4 linked regions of the Rattus norvegicus genome follow. The main gene of each other region encodes a partner of the protein of the gene in region 4 in a complex. Links are inferred from orthologs where the notes say so. Each region holds a gene or a part of one and is shown on either strand. Other genes may lie near its edges.

What was found.
Region 1: the proteins of Pak4 (region 4) and Itgb5 are in contact, whole or in part, in a crystal structure (PDB 7S46), measured with the Homo sapiens proteins. The link is inferred for Rattus norvegicus from reciprocal best matches to the Homo sapiens genes PAK4 and ITGB5. Residues at the interface, in NP_001014831.1 of Homo sapiens: Gly330, Ser331, Gln358, Arg359, Leu362, Thr404, Lys442, Ser443, Asp444, Asp458, Phe461, Leu475, Val476, Gly477, Thr478, Pro479, Tyr480, Trp481, Met482, Glu507, Glu512, Phe516, Asn517, Glu518, Pro519, Pro520, Met524; in NP_002204.2 of Homo sapiens: Ser762, Arg763, Ala764, Arg765, Tyr766, Glu767, Met768, Ala769, Ser770.
Region 2: the proteins of Pak4 (region 4) and Limk1 are in contact, whole or in part, in a crystal structure (PDB 6WLY), measured with the Homo sapiens proteins. The link is inferred for Rattus norvegicus from reciprocal best matches to the Homo sapiens genes PAK4 and LIMK1. Residues at the interface, in NP_001014831.1 of Homo sapiens: Glu329, Gly330, Ser331, Gln358, Arg359, Leu362, Thr404, Asp440, Lys442, Ser443, Asp444, Phe461, Leu475, Val476, Gly477, Thr478, Pro479, Tyr480, Trp481, Met482, Glu507, Phe516, Pro520; in NP_002305.1 of Homo sapiens: Lys505, Arg506, Tyr507, Thr508, Val509, Val510, Gly511.
Region 3: the proteins of Pak4 (region 4) and Inka1 are in contact, whole or in part, in a crystal structure (PDB 4XBU), measured with the Homo sapiens proteins. The link is inferred for Rattus norvegicus from reciprocal best matches to the Homo sapiens genes PAK4 and INKA1. Residues at the interface, in NP_001014831.1 of Homo sapiens: Ser331, Gln358, Arg359, Glu361, Leu362, Thr404, Asp440, Lys442, Ser443, Asp444, Phe461, Leu475, Val476, Gly477, Thr478, Pro479, Tyr480, Trp481, Met482, Arg489, Glu507, Glu512, Phe516, Asn517, Glu518, Pro519, Pro520, Met524; in NP_976248.2 of Homo sapiens: Gly178, Arg179, Ser180, Arg181, Gln182, Pro183, Leu184, Val185, Leu186, Gly187, Asp188, Asn189, Cys190.

The regions. Positions count from the first base shown.
Region 1 is NC_086029.1:80,404,062-80,407,924, reverse strand, and holds part of Itgb5 (integrin beta-5 precursor), read left to right. Parts: intron 1-48; coding exon 49-298; intron 299-3,863.
Region 2 is NC_086030.1:27,679,866-27,683,728, forward strand, and holds part of Limk1 (LIM domain kinase 1), read left to right. Parts: intron 1-2,485; coding exon 2,486-2,692; intron 2,693-3,609; coding exon 3,610-3,715; intron 3,716-3,834; coding exon 3,835-3,863. UniProt on the Homo sapiens protein: Serine/threonine-protein kinase that plays an essential role in the regulation of actin filament dynamics. Acts downstream of several Rho family GTPase signal transduction pathways.
Region 3 is NC_086026.1:117,552,282-117,556,113, forward strand, and holds Inka1 (PAK4-inhibitor INKA1), read right to left. Parts: upstream 2,285-3,832; 5' UTR 2,121-2,284; coding exon 2,070-2,120; intron 1,441-2,069; coding exon 643-1,440; 3' UTR 594-642; downstream 1-593. Other genes in the region: Uba7 (ubiquitin-like modifier-activating enzyme 7), read left to right, coding at 190-319. UniProt on the Homo sapiens protein: Inhibitor of the serine/threonine-protein kinase PAK4. Acts by binding PAK4 in a substrate-like manner, inhibiting the protein kinase activity.
Region 4 is NC_086019.1:92,985,524-92,989,386, forward strand, and holds part of Pak4 (serine/threonine-protein kinase PAK 4), read right to left. Parts: intron 3,163-3,863; 5' UTR 3,090-3,162; intron 1,421-3,089; 5' UTR 1,360-1,420; coding exon 1,156-1,359; intron 1-1,155. UniProt on the Homo sapiens protein: Serine/threonine-protein kinase that plays a role in a variety of different signaling pathways including cytoskeleton regulation, cell adhesion turnover, cell migration, growth, proliferation or cell survival.

The sequences.
Region 1 (3,863 bases), on a different chromosome or scaffold from region 4:
CCCCAGCAAGCCACATGACCTCTAATGGGGTGACCTCTCTTGGCACAGGTGACCAGGCTACCTTCCAGCTGCAGGTACGCCAGGTGGAGGACTATCCCGTAGACCTGTACTACCTGATGGACCTCTCCCTCTCCATGAAGGATGACTTGGACAACATCCGGAGCCTGGGCACCAAGCTTGCGGAGGAGATGAGGAAGCTCACTAGTAACTTCCGGTTAGGTTTCGGGTCTTTTGTTGACAAGGACATCTCTCCGTTCTCCTACACAGCACCGAGATACCAGACCAATCCATGTATTGGGTAAGTGGTGAGCTCTCCTTCTGAGGAATTGTGGGATGAAGTAATGGGAAAATGGAACTCACTAAAGGCTAATTTAGGGGAAACATTAGGCTTAAGTATTTGATGATTTGTGATGGCCACGCCCTACATGTGAGAAAGTGTACTGTCACGGGTTGTATCACAACATAATGATCTTTTTTTTCCTTTTTAATTGCATTTTTTTAAATTTATATTTTAAACATTATCCCATTTCCTGGTTTCCCCTCCAGAAACCCGCTATCCCACCTCCCACCCCACCCTGCTTCTTTGAGGGTGCTCCCTTACCCACCCACCCACTCCTTCCTACCTCCCCACTCTAGCATTCCCTTCCACTGGGGCATCGAGCCTTGACAGGACCAAGGGCCTCCTCTCCCATTGATTCCCGACAAGGCCATCCTCTGCTACATATGTGGCTGGGGCCATGGGTCCATTCCTGTGTTCTCTTGGGATGGTGGTTTAGTCTCTGGGAGCTCTGGGGGGTCTGGTTGGTTGATACTGTGTTCTTCTTATGGGGTTGCAAACCCCTTCAGCTCCTTCAGTCCTTTCTCTAACTCCTGCATTGGGGACCCTGTTCTCAGTTCAGCGGTTGGCTGCGAGCGTCTGTCTCTGTGTTTGTGAGGCTCTGGCAGAGCCTCTCAGCAGACAGCTATATCAAGCTATGTCAGCATGCACTTCTTGTCATCTGCTATATTGTCTGGGTTTGAGTCTGTATATGGGATGGATCCCCATGTGGGGCAGTCTCTGGATGGCCTTTCAGTCTCTGCTCCTGTGAGTGTGCTTGTAGCGCCTTCTAAGAAGGACTGAAGCGTCAGCATTTTAGTCCTCCTTCTTGGTCTTCATGGGGTTTGTGAATTGTATCTTGGGTATTCCGAGCTTTCGGGCTAACATCCTTTTCAGTGAGTGCACGCCATGAGTAAAAAATAATGATCTTATGGGATGTATTTTCTTGCCTGCCTCACGTGGTTCTATTTCCCCACATTAATATAATTTAGCAAGTGTCCTTGGGGAGTCGTGGGTCCAGGTGGTCAGGGAAAGTCCAGGAGAGTGCAGTTTGTATCCTGTAGTGACTGGAGTGCACAGAGATACATAAGTTCAGGGATGGGGGATGGCTTAATTGATCAAGTACTCGCTACACAACCATGAGTAGTTAGCTGAGTTTGTAAAAGCTGTGTACTTCAGGATGCTCATGATCCCAGCACTGGTAAAGCAGAGACAGAAGGATCCTTAGGGTTTGCTGGCTGTGAATCACACAGAATTTGTGAGATCCAGTTTCAGTACGAGCCTCTATCTCAAAGGGGCATGATACAAGAAGGCACTTGCAACCAATCTCTGAGCTTTGTATGCACATGTACACATATGTGTGTGCATAACCACAAATAAATGCATTTATACATACATACATACATACATACATACATACATACATACAAAAGGATAAATGTGCTCAGAGATTGTCCCTCTTTAGGTTAGCAGCTATAATTTACTTCCGTATAACTAAATGAAAACGTCGTTTTAGTTTTAATTTTTTGTTTAATTTTAGTTTTGTATGTGTATGTGTGTACTATGTGTGTATATATCATGGCTCTTGCATAGAGGTCAGATGATGCCTTGTACAACACACAGTAAAATTGATAGCTTCTATCCTTTTCTTGCCTCATCTCCACAGTTGACCTTAATGAGTTTGTGGAATATAGGGCCCAATGTAGTCACCAGAACAGCTAAGATTCTAGTTCTCGCTAAGGGTCAGATACCATTCACACTTTTCACAAATAAACGCTTTATTGAGATTATCTCATTCCATCCCATATCGGACTCCTCAGGTCCCTACGGCTTCCAAGCCATGCTTACAGATGAGGAAGGTGAAGCCTACAGAGGATAAATACCTTTATACAGATAGCCAAGGGGTAGACTAGAGTCTGTCTTCTCATCAACACAATGACATTTTCCTCCTCCAAGATACTTTATCTGAGGTTACGTGACTGGGCACTCCCAAGCTCCCAAAAGCCCAGCAAGTCAGAGTTTACCTAAGTCTGCGGTAAGACGTCCCCAAATGTCCACAGCTAAATATCTACAAAGGTGCTCATTTGTACAAAATCTGAGGAGGGCTATATGTCATCGACTTTTGGCACTTCTCCTTCAGGGATCCAGGCCTCTTCTGTGTTATGATATCAGTTTTGATTCTTAGTCTCCTGCTGCCTCAGAGGAGGGTGTTCTTTTTAAAGACCCTGGGCTTCTCTCCACACCTTTGTAGCCTAAACAGCTCCCAGCTCCAGGGTAGGTTGGGGATTGGGTAAGGTGGGGATATCCTAGTAGCCTGCATCCTGAGTCTCCCTGGTCTTGCTAGTTTCATTTACCCATGCTGCCCTAGATCATCCTTAGGAATGAGAAACCAACATAAAGATTGAAAAACAGTAAGATAAGCCAGCTAGTCTCAGTGCATGCCCCCACACTTTTAATCCTAGTAGAGGCAGGTGGATTTTGAGGCCAGCCTAGTCTATAAAGGGAGTTGCAGGACAGCCAGAGCTACACAGAGAAACCCTATCTTAAACATAAGAAGAAGAAAAAAAGAACAGTAAGATGAACAGTTTTAAATACAGATGCATTCAAAGTTCCTTAAGCATCTCGCTATTTGCTGGTGTAGCTTTTAAAGCCACAGGTAGGGTAAGCTACATAAAGCTAGGTTATGATTATGGCTCTGAGTCTCCAAGGCCACATTCAGCTGGCTCCAGGCCACGTGTTTTATTGTTGGTGTTTTGCTACTTAATGGGAGCAACAGCATCTCAATCAAAACATTTTTGGGATTTATTGGAACAGTAATCCCATCCACTCCTTTCGGTCCCTGCCCTGATTGGGCTCCGACTCTAGTCAGACAGGGTGTGTCTGCACTCTCTGAGCTGCTGGACTGGGAGCTGGCAGAGGATCAAGGCCCAGTTTGGGTGTTTAGCATCCAAATAGTCAAGTCTATTGCACATAGATATTCAGACTTCCTACTTGAAGCCCTCCAGGCAGACACAGTGGCAGACAGTGCTGTTCTTGACTGAGAGCACAGAGCACTCTGAAAAGCTGTTCCTAAGACAGGAAATCAGTGAAGAAAGCATGTGAGGAAGGAAACTTCAAATCTAAGTCATGTAAATCTCTCTTTTGTAAGCCGGGAAGTATCAGGGCAGAGACTGCAGCTCTCCGAAGCTGGCTGAGCTTTCCACCCTGGGGAGTCTCCCTAGAGAGTCCGCTTTGCAACTTGGATGGGACAGCACAAGCCAGGGCATATAATCTAGCTGTTCCATACCAGGTCTGGGACAACACACACGTTATTTACTTTCCTGTTATAAAGGCCCCGTGAGTTAAATTACTGACATCTAAAAAATGGACACAAATGACCAGAATTTCTAGTTTTTTCTCCATTTGGTATAGAATACCCAGGCTTGCCCTGGGGAGAAAAAAGTAATGCAAGCAAGACCAGTTTGATAATCACGGAGCATCTCTAGGAAGCCCCAATACTCACTGACATCCTATTTCCTATTGCTAGCTGTGGGACTTGATCATTTAT
Region 2 (3,863 bases), on a different chromosome or scaffold from region 4:
TCCCCCAGTGAGGGGCTGGGGGTGTGGCTCAGTGGTAGAGCACCTGCCTAGAATCCCCCAGTGAGGGGCTGGGGGCGTGGCTCAGTGGTAGAGCCCCTGCCTAGAATCCCCCAGTGAGGGGCTGGGGGCGTGGCTCAGTGGTAGAGCCCCTGCCTAGAATCCCCCAGGGAGGGGCTGGGGGCGTGGCTCAGTGGTAGAGCCCCTGCCTAGAATCCCCCAGTGAGGGGCTGGGGGCGTGGCTCAGTGGTAGAGCCCCTGCCTAGAATCCCCCAGTGAGGGGCTGGGGGTGTGGCTCAGTGGTAGAGCACCTGCCTAGAATCCCCCAGTGAGGGGCTGGGGGCGTGGCTCAGTGGTAGAGCACCTGCCTAGAATCCCCCAGTGAGGGGCTGGGGGCGTGGCTCAGTGGTAGAGCCCCTGCCTAGAATCCCCCAGGGAGGGGCTGGGGGCGTGGCTCAGTGGTAGAGCCCCTGCCTAGAATCCCCCAGGGAGGGGCTGGGGGCGTGGCTCAGTGGTAGAGCCCCTGCCTAGAATCCCCCAGTGAGAGGCTGGGGGCGTGGCTCAGTGGTAGAACCCCTGCCTAGAATCCCCCAGTGAGGGGCTGGGGGTGTGGCTCGGTGGTAGAGCCCCTGCCTAGAATCCCCCAGGGAGGGGCTGGGGGCGTGGCTCAGTGGTAGAGCACCTGCCTAGAATCCCCCAGTGAGGGGCTGGGGGCATGGCTCAGTGATAGAGCCCCTGCCTAGAATCCTCCAGTGAGGGGCTGGGGGCGTGGCTCAGTGGTAGAGCCCCTGCCTAGAATCCCCCAGGGAGGGGCTGGGGGCGTGGCTCAGTGGTAGAGCCTCTGCCTAGAATCCCCCAGGGAGGGGCTGGGGGTGTGGCTCAGTGGTAGAGCCCCTGCCTAGAATCCCCCAGGGAGGGGCTGGGGGTGTGGCTCGGTGGTAGAGTACCTGCCTAGAATCCCCCAGTGAGGGCTAGAGTGTGACTCAGCAGTAGAGGGCTTCCATGTCATTAGTAAGGCTCTATGTTCATTTCTGAGTATGAAAGAAAGAAGATAGACAGACAGACAATGACTGAAACCAAAAGTGCCCCGACACCAGCTCCCTTCCTTCTGCTTCTGCAGTGTTACTGTGTCTCTAGCCACAGAGCTGACACAGATCCCACAAGCTACAGATACCATCCCCAGCAGGTCTGTTCCTGCTCCAGACACCAGCTGCGCACTCAGGCATCCCCAGGCCCTCACACACTTCAGGCAACTGCGTTCCAGTCCAGTGACCCCAGGTTTGAGGGTGTGCTGTGTAACCAACTCACAGAACTCCACATGGTGCTGCGGGTCACAGCCGCACCAAGCGAGGGCACCTTCCACCTCTCCCAGCCCATCTTAGGTTTACTAACTGGGATGCCACTGAGGCCACGCCTCCAGGGATTCCACTGAGGTTTTAAGGCATTGGTCTCTAGCCTGCTCCTGGGAATCCAGGCTGGCCAGAAGCCCCAAGCCTTCAGTCAGGGTCAGTAACTGTGGAACCAGCCCTGATGTGACTCATTTGCATAGACTCAAGTGTCCTCCAGAGGGCTCATAAATAACAAAGATCCCCCTGTTCCAAGGACTTCGAGTCCTTCTCCCCAGAGCCAGAGACAAAACCAGACAGATTCTCTCTTCGGAAACACCAGCAAAACTGGATTCGAAAACATCAGACCCGATCCCAAATGGGTTTTTAATGACTTCCTCCCTAAGGAGACGTATCCGTTAGGGCCTCGCCTTATCTTGGCCATCTGACAGTATCACCGGATAGACAGAGCCAAAATGGGGCCAGTGAGATGGCTCAGTGGGTAAAGGCGCTTGCTGCCAAGCCTAACGAACCTGAATTCCATCCCCAGGACCCACAGGGTGGAAAGAGAGAACTGACTCACAAATTGTCCTCTGACCTCCATACTCTCTCCGTGGCATGTGTAGTCCCCTCACCCCTAAGCCCATACACACACACACACAAAAATAATAAATGTAATTAAAAGAAGTAACAGTCTGATGAGATGGCTCGGCAGGTAAAGGCATTAACCACTAAGCTTTACAACCTTAGTTTAATCCCCAGGACCATAACGGAAGGAGAAAACTGATTTCTGCAAATTGTTTTTTAGTCCCCATATATATTGGCATACATCTCATTGAGCAAACACACACAAAAATAAATGTAAAAAAAAATGATTGGGGTTGGAGATTTAGATTCAGTGGTAGAGAGCTTGCCTAGGAAGCGCAAGGCCCTGGGTTCGGTCCCCAGCTCCGAAAAAAAGAACCAAAAAAAAAAAAAAAAAAAAAAAAAGATTAACTTGAATAACAGAACCAGAGTTAGGGGTGCTGAGACAACTGGGCATGCCCAGTCCTGCCCTGTGTCCCACCAGCTTGCTGTGGGCTGCAGAGCAGCATTCCTGACTTCTCCCCTGATGCTCTCTTCTTCCTTTCTCTTTGGATCGGCACCGCCGATGACCCTCATAGCGGGCAGTGCTACTACCAGACTGTGGTAACTCCAGTCATCGAACAGATCCTCCCTGACTCACCCGGCTCCCACCTGCCCCACACAGTCACCCTCGTGTCTATCCCAGCCTCTGCTCATGGCAAACGAGGCCTGTCTGTCTCCATCGACCCCCCTCACGGCCCACCAGGATGTGGCACGGAGCATTCGCACACGGTCCGAGTCCAAGGGTGAGTGGGCTGCCACGCTGGGTGGGGCCCTGTTGTAGCGACCTGGTTCTATTAGCTCTCTGCTGCTGTGACAGGATACCTGACACAAACAACCTGAGTGGGGAGAGATTGGTCTTAGCTCACGGTTCGGAGGGCTCTAGTCACTGAGTCAGGTTATTCAGGCCCAAAACACCCAGGTACTAGAAGCAGGAGGAACTGAGATCGCTCCCCCAGAACCCATTTTTACAAAATCCAGGGGCTGTCAACATGGCTTGTCAGATAAAGATGCTTGCCACCAAGGCTGACTGACATATTGAGTTTCATTCCCAGGTCCCACAAGGAAAACCAACTATCTTCTGATTGACAGACAGACAGACAGACAGACACATACACACACACACACACACACACACACACACACACACACCGACAAAGAAACAGACCTGAAAGAAGAAGGGGATCCATGCGAGTGGGAGGGGAACAGGAGGGGTGGAGGGGAGTGTGATCAAATGCACTACGTAGTGTATGAAGGCGCCGTAGTGAAGCCTGTGGTTGACATAGTTAATAGATGTAATAGTAAGACAGAACTGGAGCTGGAGAGATGGCTCAGCGGTTAAGAGCACCGGCTGTTCTTGCAGAGGACCAGGGTTCGGTTCCCAGCAACCACCTGGCGGCTGACAACCTTCCAGCTCCAGACACCTCCAGGCCACCAGGCATGCATGCATGTGGTACATAGATGTACACGCAGACAAAACGCCTGCGTAAAGTCTTTTATTTGGTTATAGGTAACAACTAAAACCACAGTATTCTGCGATTTCCACCTCAGGTGGTATCGTTCCTTCCCACCCCACACCTGGTGCCCTTGGCTTTTGGTTTCCTCTTGGGGCTCAGGGGCACAGGTCGTAGGAGAACTCGTCTAACCATGCCTTTATCCCCAGAGTGGACCCGGGCTGCATGAGCCCGGATGTGAAGAATTCCATCCACATCGGAGACAGGATCTTGGAAATCAACGGCACGCCCATCCGGAATGTGCCGCTGGACGAGGTAGGACCACAGAATCAGACAGATCCGAGGCTGGGCAGGATGGAATGGTGGAAATAGAAGCTTCACCCCTGAGCTCTGTTGCCACCTCAGAAGACTCACCTGTCCACACCTGTCCCCAGATCGACTTGCTGATCCAGGAGACCAGCCG
Region 3 (3,832 bases), on a different chromosome or scaffold from region 4:
CAGCTTCCTGCCTCTTGCCTGCCCCACCAGCTGCTCCTAAAATAGTTTCAGATGTTTCCTGCCTTGAGCCGCTCATGCTCCTGGTTGAGGCTCTTGAGGGCTCACCAGTGCCCTCTGGTCCACACTAGGTCCACACTCTGTCTGCCTCTGCTCACCTACAAAATCTCCCCAAACCCCTTCCCATACCAGGGTGACAGAACTAGTTCAGCAGGTGACCGGCCAGAAACCCAAGCCTGGGCTGAGAGTTCTGGTGTTTGAGCTGAGCTGTGAGGGTGAGGATGACGAAATGGCCTTCCCACCTCTGCATTATGAGCTGTGATGAGGTGGCCACCACGCCACCACTTGGCCATCACGAACTCTGCATACAATTCCTGCATCTTCAGCCCACAGCGGATACTTCAACAATAAAAGCTTGTTGAAGGAAGGCACAAGTGGAGTGGATGGTAGAGCAAACAAGGGTGATATGGGTAATATGATATGGGTGATATGGGAACCTGGGGAAGAGAGAGGGAAGGTTCTAGACTGGCCTGTCTTAGTTGTGCTTCACGGGGATGGGGACACTTCCTAAAGCCTCAGGAGTATGGAACCAGCAGTTTAGAAAAAAAACCAAAAAACTTTATTGTCTCTAGCTGGAGGGCAGGGTCAGAGGTAGCTGACATCATTGTAGATAATAGGTTGGCGGCTTCGACAGTTCATGAGGGCTGCAAATCGTGAAATGTCCGCAGGCAGGTCAGGTTCTGGGCGAGGTGGGCATGACAACCTCTTGCCTGCCATAGCTGTCCGTCGAGCCCTGGCCAACCTACGCCGTAGCTGCTCAGAGAGACCAAGCAGGAACTGGGGGGGTCGAGCACGGGCTCGGGGAACATCTCCATCACTTCCTTCACTGGTCGCTTCGGGCAACTCCATCCAATTGTGAACTAAATCAGCAAAACAGTTATCCCCTAGCACCAGGGGCTGCCGACTGCGGCCCCTGTTCAGCAGGGCTGCCGTCCAGTCCTCTGCTTCCAATCCCTGCCAGTGTTCCAGGCAAGCATCAGGGGTGGACTTGGGCCTTGGACGGTGGGCAGGAGGTATGTTGGTTACAGCTGCCCTACTGCGCACGGGGAGGTCACTCACTGAGAAACGCTGGCTATGAGGTGGACGTTCTGGGGGTGCCTGGCGCCGGGGTACAGACAGCTCTTCTTCTCGCCATGTACTGCCTGACACCTCTGAGAAGCCAGAGTCCCAATCTAGGGCATGTTCCCTAGGACACCCCAGCGGTGCACCCCTGTCTTCTGCTACCAAGCCTTCCTCCTCTTCCTCTTCTACACAGCAGACAGAGTCCTCTTCCAAAACATCGGAGGCCCTGAACCGGCGCTTGGGCTGTATATTTTGATCAGTTTTAGGTTTTGGTTGCAGTGGGCCAGGCATTGGAGGTGAGGCTGTGTCCCGAGCACACAACTGGAGAGAAAGATAGGGCAAATGTTGGACAGGGATTTCTTAGTCCCTGACCCCGTAGTGTCTAACCAAGCCAGCTCTGAGAAAGGAGGGTTCAGAAGGATTTGAAAATCCTCTGGGCAGCAAGGCAGAACTGTAAGCGCAGGGCCCACATGGGGGCACTGGCACTCGAGGCTCATGTGGCTCCCATCCACAGAGCTGGTGGCAGTCCGGCAGGCTGCAGCACGCAGGGCCGGGCAAGTCAGCACGCGCCACCAGGGCGGGCAGGCAGAGTGGAGGAAGGAGGTACAGGCCAGCCCATGGTAGGGGATGTCCACAGCAGCACAGCACTTCTTTAGGCCTTGGGTGCTCCCTGACGGTCCCCAAAAGAAACTTCTTTCCCCAACTCTCCTCCCCCGCCTCTCTGCGGCCGGCACGGCCAGCTGGGCGCCTGTTACCTGATGCCCAGAACAGTTCCCAACCGTCAGAAACCCGAAGCGGGCCATCTGGGCCATCTGTAGCGCACTACCCTGCCCCCATCCTGACTCTGATGGGCACCCGGAGTCCACCCCGTTGCCGTTTGTTGTTCCAGCCAGGCGGCAGCCACGCACTCCACACACATCTTCACAACCACACCCACTCTAAAGACTCACCAGTTCCCAGCGGAGCTGGCTCAGGAAACTGTCAAGCCGAGCGCTGTGCATGTTGGTGCTGGTGCTGAACACTCTCCAGGTCCGCCCGCTCACCGCCGATCACCCGCGGGAGCGGCGCAGAGTGGGCCGAGTCGGCCCGCTAGTGGCGTCCTCACCCTTGCCTTACTCCAAGGCTCCTTACTCCCTCAGTAGCTCCGGCCGCTGCCGCCCCAACATCTGGCAGCCGCGCCCCGCCCCGCCCCCGGTACCCTAGCCAATGGAGGCGGGGCGAGCTGAAGATGCCCTGCCCCTTTCAGCCCCGCCCTCCAGCCTAGCTCTGCTGGTGGAGCCTGGCTGTAGAAGCTCGTGAGCTCCGAGTGCAGCTCAGGACCCTTCACGTCTCAAAAACTTTAGCTAACCCTGCTGTAGCGCAGTTCCGTCACGACCCCCTCCAGCCCCCGTACGTTCATCCCGTGACCTCATCTTTTCAATTTGTCCCCTGGTGAAATAGCGGTTTCTTGTGCTGGGGCCCGATGCGACGCCCACGTTTGGACACTGCACCCTATCTTCCAATTGACAATATTGTGGCCCACTCGGGGTCTGTCCAGGCTGGCCTTGACTATCCCTGGAAATGATAGGACCGAGTTTCCTTCCGCCCGGTGAATACTCCGCGAAGAACCTTAAAACAGAGAGAGTAAGGGAAGGGCCATGGCTAACTGCCCTCCAGCATCCCTCTAGCCTGATCTGAGCCGAGATAGCCTGGACCGCCCTCTAGTGGGGATCGCGTCGCTATGGTCTGCATCCTCAATCTGCACCACTGACCTATAGGTTGTGTGCAGGAATGGAAAAGGAAAACTGCTCTTTGGCTCCAATGTTCAGAGTCTTTCCCCTGAGGCCACTCCACAATCAGAGGTACAGTCTAACTGGAGACAGACTGGATCTTTCCGCAGACAGCAAAATATAAGAGAATGAAGGCAATGAGTTCAGTTAAGAGATAGGACTCTTAAGGGGCTGGGGATTTAGCTCAGTGGTAGAGCGCTTACCTAGGAAGCGCAAGGCCCTGGGTTCGGTCCCCAGCTCCGGAAAAAAAAAAAAAAAAAAAAAAAAAAAAGAGATAGGACTCTTAAAAAGATATGACCTGGGTTGGGGATTTAGCTCAGTGGTAGAGCACTTGCCTAGCAAGCGCAAGGCCCTGGGTTCGGTCCCCAACTCAGAAAAAAAGAAAAAAAAAAAAGATATGACCTATCTTGGGTCAATTCATTTGAGTGCAGTGAGGAAGGGCATTTTAGGTGAAAGGGTTTGCCAATGTAAAGAATATCGAGGGACAAGGGTTAGGCAGACCAAACGAAAGGAAAACACGGATGTGTGTGATGAATGGGGCAGGGGTTTGTGGATGGAGAGAAGTCATCAAAACCAAGCCTCCAAGATTTATGAGAGTCTCTGGGTTTTATTTTTGGTGCTATAAAAAGCACGGAGCTTTTTTCAGTGAATGACCAGGGCTATTTTCTGCAAGATACAGTTGTTTTGGGAGAATAATCCTGCAACCAAAGGAGGTTCTGGCCTTTCTCCCAGGCCAGGGTATGTGTCTGAAAGCCTGGATCTGAACCCAGAGGGTAAACAAAAGCATCATTCTAGATTCCAGAATGACTCTAGAGCTAAGCCTGAGTGGTGCACAGATGCAGGTAGGTAAAACATGGCGTCCAAGTTTCCAGTATGAACAGCCGGCTGGCTGGCACTGCCATTAAAAACACTCAGTAGAAGGAAACTTCTGCTCCCCTTTCCCA
Region 4 (3,863 bases):
AAGAACCAAAAAAAAAAAAAAAAAAAAGCACTGACTGCTCTTCCAGAGGTCCTGAGTTCAATTCCCAGCAACCACATGGTGGCTCACAACCATCTGTAATGGGATCTGATGCCGCCTTCTGGTGTGTCTGAAGACAGCTACAGTGTACTCATATATAATAAATAAATAAAAATATAATCTTTAAAAAAAAAAAAAAAGAAGAATGCATGGAGCAGGGGTGAAATTTTGGGGACACACAACCTGTGAAAAATGACCACGAAGCTCATCAGGTCATGGGAGTGTTCAGGGTGGGCTGTCTGGGGACTGTGGTGGGGTCTACCTCACAAGCTACTGGCTTCCGGCTGACCTGGGTTGTGAAAGGCCCATACAGATTCAGATGACAAGAGGGGCTTTCTAAGCAATGGAGAGAAGTCTAGGCTCTCACATGACCCTATAGGGTCGCAGAAATAACCAGAAAGACCCTAGCCTGGACCCAAGCACTGTGGCTGCAGGTGCCCTGATGACTCTATCTCTCCCAGCAGGCCCTGGTTGGTCACCGGGAGAGGATGAGTCAGCCGCAGTGCCAGGCACCCAGCCTGCTGACCACAGGCGCGCCCAACTCCACCCAGTGGGGACAGCTCTGGCTGCACTCCTCTGGGTCCCACCACCCCTGGCATGAGTCCAGCCAGGGCACTCTTATCACTAGGCCTGCGTGGCTGTAGTCCCTGCCTAGGCTGTGAGACCACAATTCTCCCATTGTGCACCGAGGCGGGAGAAGTGTGAGGATCTTGGGTCTAGACCTCAGGTCTCATTTCAACTGACAGTTTGCTCAGGATGCTAAGACTGGATGGCTTCTGCCCTGCTCCCATCTGCCTCAGCTGCTCCCCAGACCTTGGAATGCAGCTTAGGTATCCCCTAGCAAGCCCGGAGGTTGTCTGGGAGTGGGCTGTCTCCCATGTCATGAAGCACTGGGAGACCAAGGTTGAGTGTGTGGTGCTGGGGAAGAAGGAGTGGAGGTCAGAGGTCAGCATGGGCTTCCAGGACTGCACTGGCAGCTGGAAGGCTGGCACTGGGCTACAGAGGTAAGGGGTTCTGCAAAGAGGCCAGGGGCAACTGAAGGGCTGGGCTACTCTGTCAGCATGGGCTGTGGGGTAGACGTGGTGTGGTGATGACTACCTTGGGGGCTCCAGGCTGGATGGAAGTGATGCAAGCAGGGTCGATCAGGGGCTTGGGTCTGCGCGCTGACTCCTCAATCAGGCTCTGCCACTGGCGGGGAAGCCCTGTGAACTTCTGCTCATGCTGATCGAAGCCTGTGTGTACGCGGTGCTCGAAGTTGGATGGGGCCGAGATCTCCACCCGCTTCTTCTTCTTTCCAAACATGGTTCCAGGACCTTAGCACAAAGTGTGTGAATGGTGGGGTGGCCTGGGCTCTTACAGGCACCTGCGGGAAGGAAGCACCAAGGGAGGTGGGATCAGTGGCAGGTGATCTGTCTGTCACTCAAACCTTCCCCGTTCTCTGAGGCTGCCCTGGTTGGTTCAGCAGCTCTCCCACAGACCAGCAGGGGGCAGCAGCCTCCTCCTGGGCCCTCTGAGCAGTTACTTTTGTGGTTCCTCTTGAGCAACTAGAAGGTCAGGCCCAGCTCTCTCCTCCTCAGAGCCACAGCTCCTTGTGGCCCAGAGACCTATACAGCCACCAGCTTCACATCAGCTTTCAGACATCAGGGCTTTAGCACAGGCAGGCAGTCCCCTTGCCTGTTATCCCAAGAGCTCCCCTCCTCCCCTCCTCCAGGTCCCCGAGTCTCTACTGATTACTTTTCTAACCACACAGCCTGCTGGCCATCACATCACCTTCAGATGCCCTTCACCGACAGGGAGACTGCTCTTGTTCTTGTGTGTCTTTTGTCTCCCTCCAACCCCAGTAATGACAACCAGTGAACAGTCCCCACCTCTAGTCTGGCCACTACAGACACATGGGATGCCTCTCCACACTGTGGCCTTCTCCAACTTTGGGGCCTGGATCTTCAACTGGGCACTTACATAAATACCCAGTAAAGGCTGGTCAGGAATCCAAGGGAGAGCCAGGCAGGTGACGCACCCCTTTAGTCCCAGGACTCAGAGGCAGAGACATGTGGATTTCTGTGTGTTCAAGGCCAGCCTGGTCTACATAAGTGAGTTCTAGGCTAGTTAGAACTACACAGAGAGCCTGCCTCAATAAGGGAGCAGGAAGCTGGAGAGAAAGCTTAGCAGGTAAGAACACTGGCTGTTCTTCCAGAGGACCTGGGTTCAATTCCCAGCTCCTACACGGCAGCTCACAACTGTCTATAACTCTACTTCTAGGGGATACGACACCCTCTTCTGACCTTCAAGGACATTAGCAACACATGTGGTGCCCAGACACATATGCAGGCAAAACACTCATACACAAACTTTAAGACTATTAGGGCTGGAGAGATGACTCAGTGGCTAAGAGCACTGACTGCTCTTCCAGAGGTCCTGAGTTCAATTCCCAGCAACCACATGGTGGCTCACAACCATCTGTAATGGGATCTGATGCCCTCTTCTGGTGTGTCTGAAGACAGCTACTTATATACAAAAAATAATTAAATATTTAAAAATAAAGACTATTAATAATTTTTAAAAAGTAAATTAAAAATAATCAACATCTGTAACAACAGCAACAACAAAAAAATCAACAGATGAGCCCAGCCAGGAGCACAGGCTGAGTAGCTGCAATCCCAGCTCCTGAGGAGGCAGGAGCATGGCAAGTTCAAAGCGTTCCCCGGATAGAGTGGATTCAGGCTATTCTGAATAGTCAGTGTGGTGAAACTGTCACAAAATAAAATGATAAAAAGGTCTGGGGCTACAGCTCAGCAGCAGAGCACATACAGCAGGTGGGAGGCCCTGGGGTCCATCCCAGCTCAAGGACAAGGTGATGGTGGCACCTCACAGAGACTCAAGCAACGACAGACACTAGGCAGCTTTGCAACAACTCTTCTGCCTCTCACTACCTGGGTCCTGGGTGATCGAGGGACTGAGACCCTCCCTGCCTTGGACCAGCCCCTTCTGCCCAGGAGACTGGCCCTGTGGGAAGAGCCTGGAGTCATACAGACCTGGTCTGAAGTGGCTGGGCTAGAAACACCCTTGTGTGGGTGACGTCTCCTCCTGAGGCTTTGAGTTACTCATCTGTAAGACAGGAAAAAAGATCCATCAGTCATTCCATCACTAACACCCACTGTACTCTGGCTGACAGTGGGACATGATGACAACCCAGACAGCCTGTGACCCACTAAGGTCTACATGGGGCAGATGTCCCTAGTTAGTGACAGTGAACACTGGTAGGGACTGGGCCCACAAAGTGCTACCCAGCCATGGAGGGATGGCAGGTGTGCTAAGGGGAGGCTTCCTTCAGGAGGCCCAGAGGACCAAAGGGTACCAGAGGACTTTCATCGTCATTCCAACTGCCTCTCCAGTACTGGCAGAGCGCTGGGCAGGCACAGAACCAGCACCCAGCCCCAGAGACACTCAGCTGGGGAAGTGGCTACAGACAAGTGTCCAGGGCCCAGCCAGGTCTCCTCATCTCCAGGCATGGCTCTCTTTCTTGGGAGTCACTGGCTCAGTCTACTAGAAGAACATTAGTGGGCAGCCAGCCAGGGAAACCGGTTTGGCAGCCGAGCCAAGTGAGAGGCAGGTGGGGACGCAGCAGCCAACCTGTCTCAACTGGTCCCAAGGGGCCTGCAGGCGGCCAGCCCCAGGCCTGGACAGGGCTTTCCCAGCTGGTCTAGTTTCTTTGCTTGACCCAGGTCCAGGGGTTCTGGCTGAGGGCTGGGACAGCTGGGGCAGAAGTGGCACCTCTGGCTTCTAGCCTCCTGCCTCAGAACCAGCAG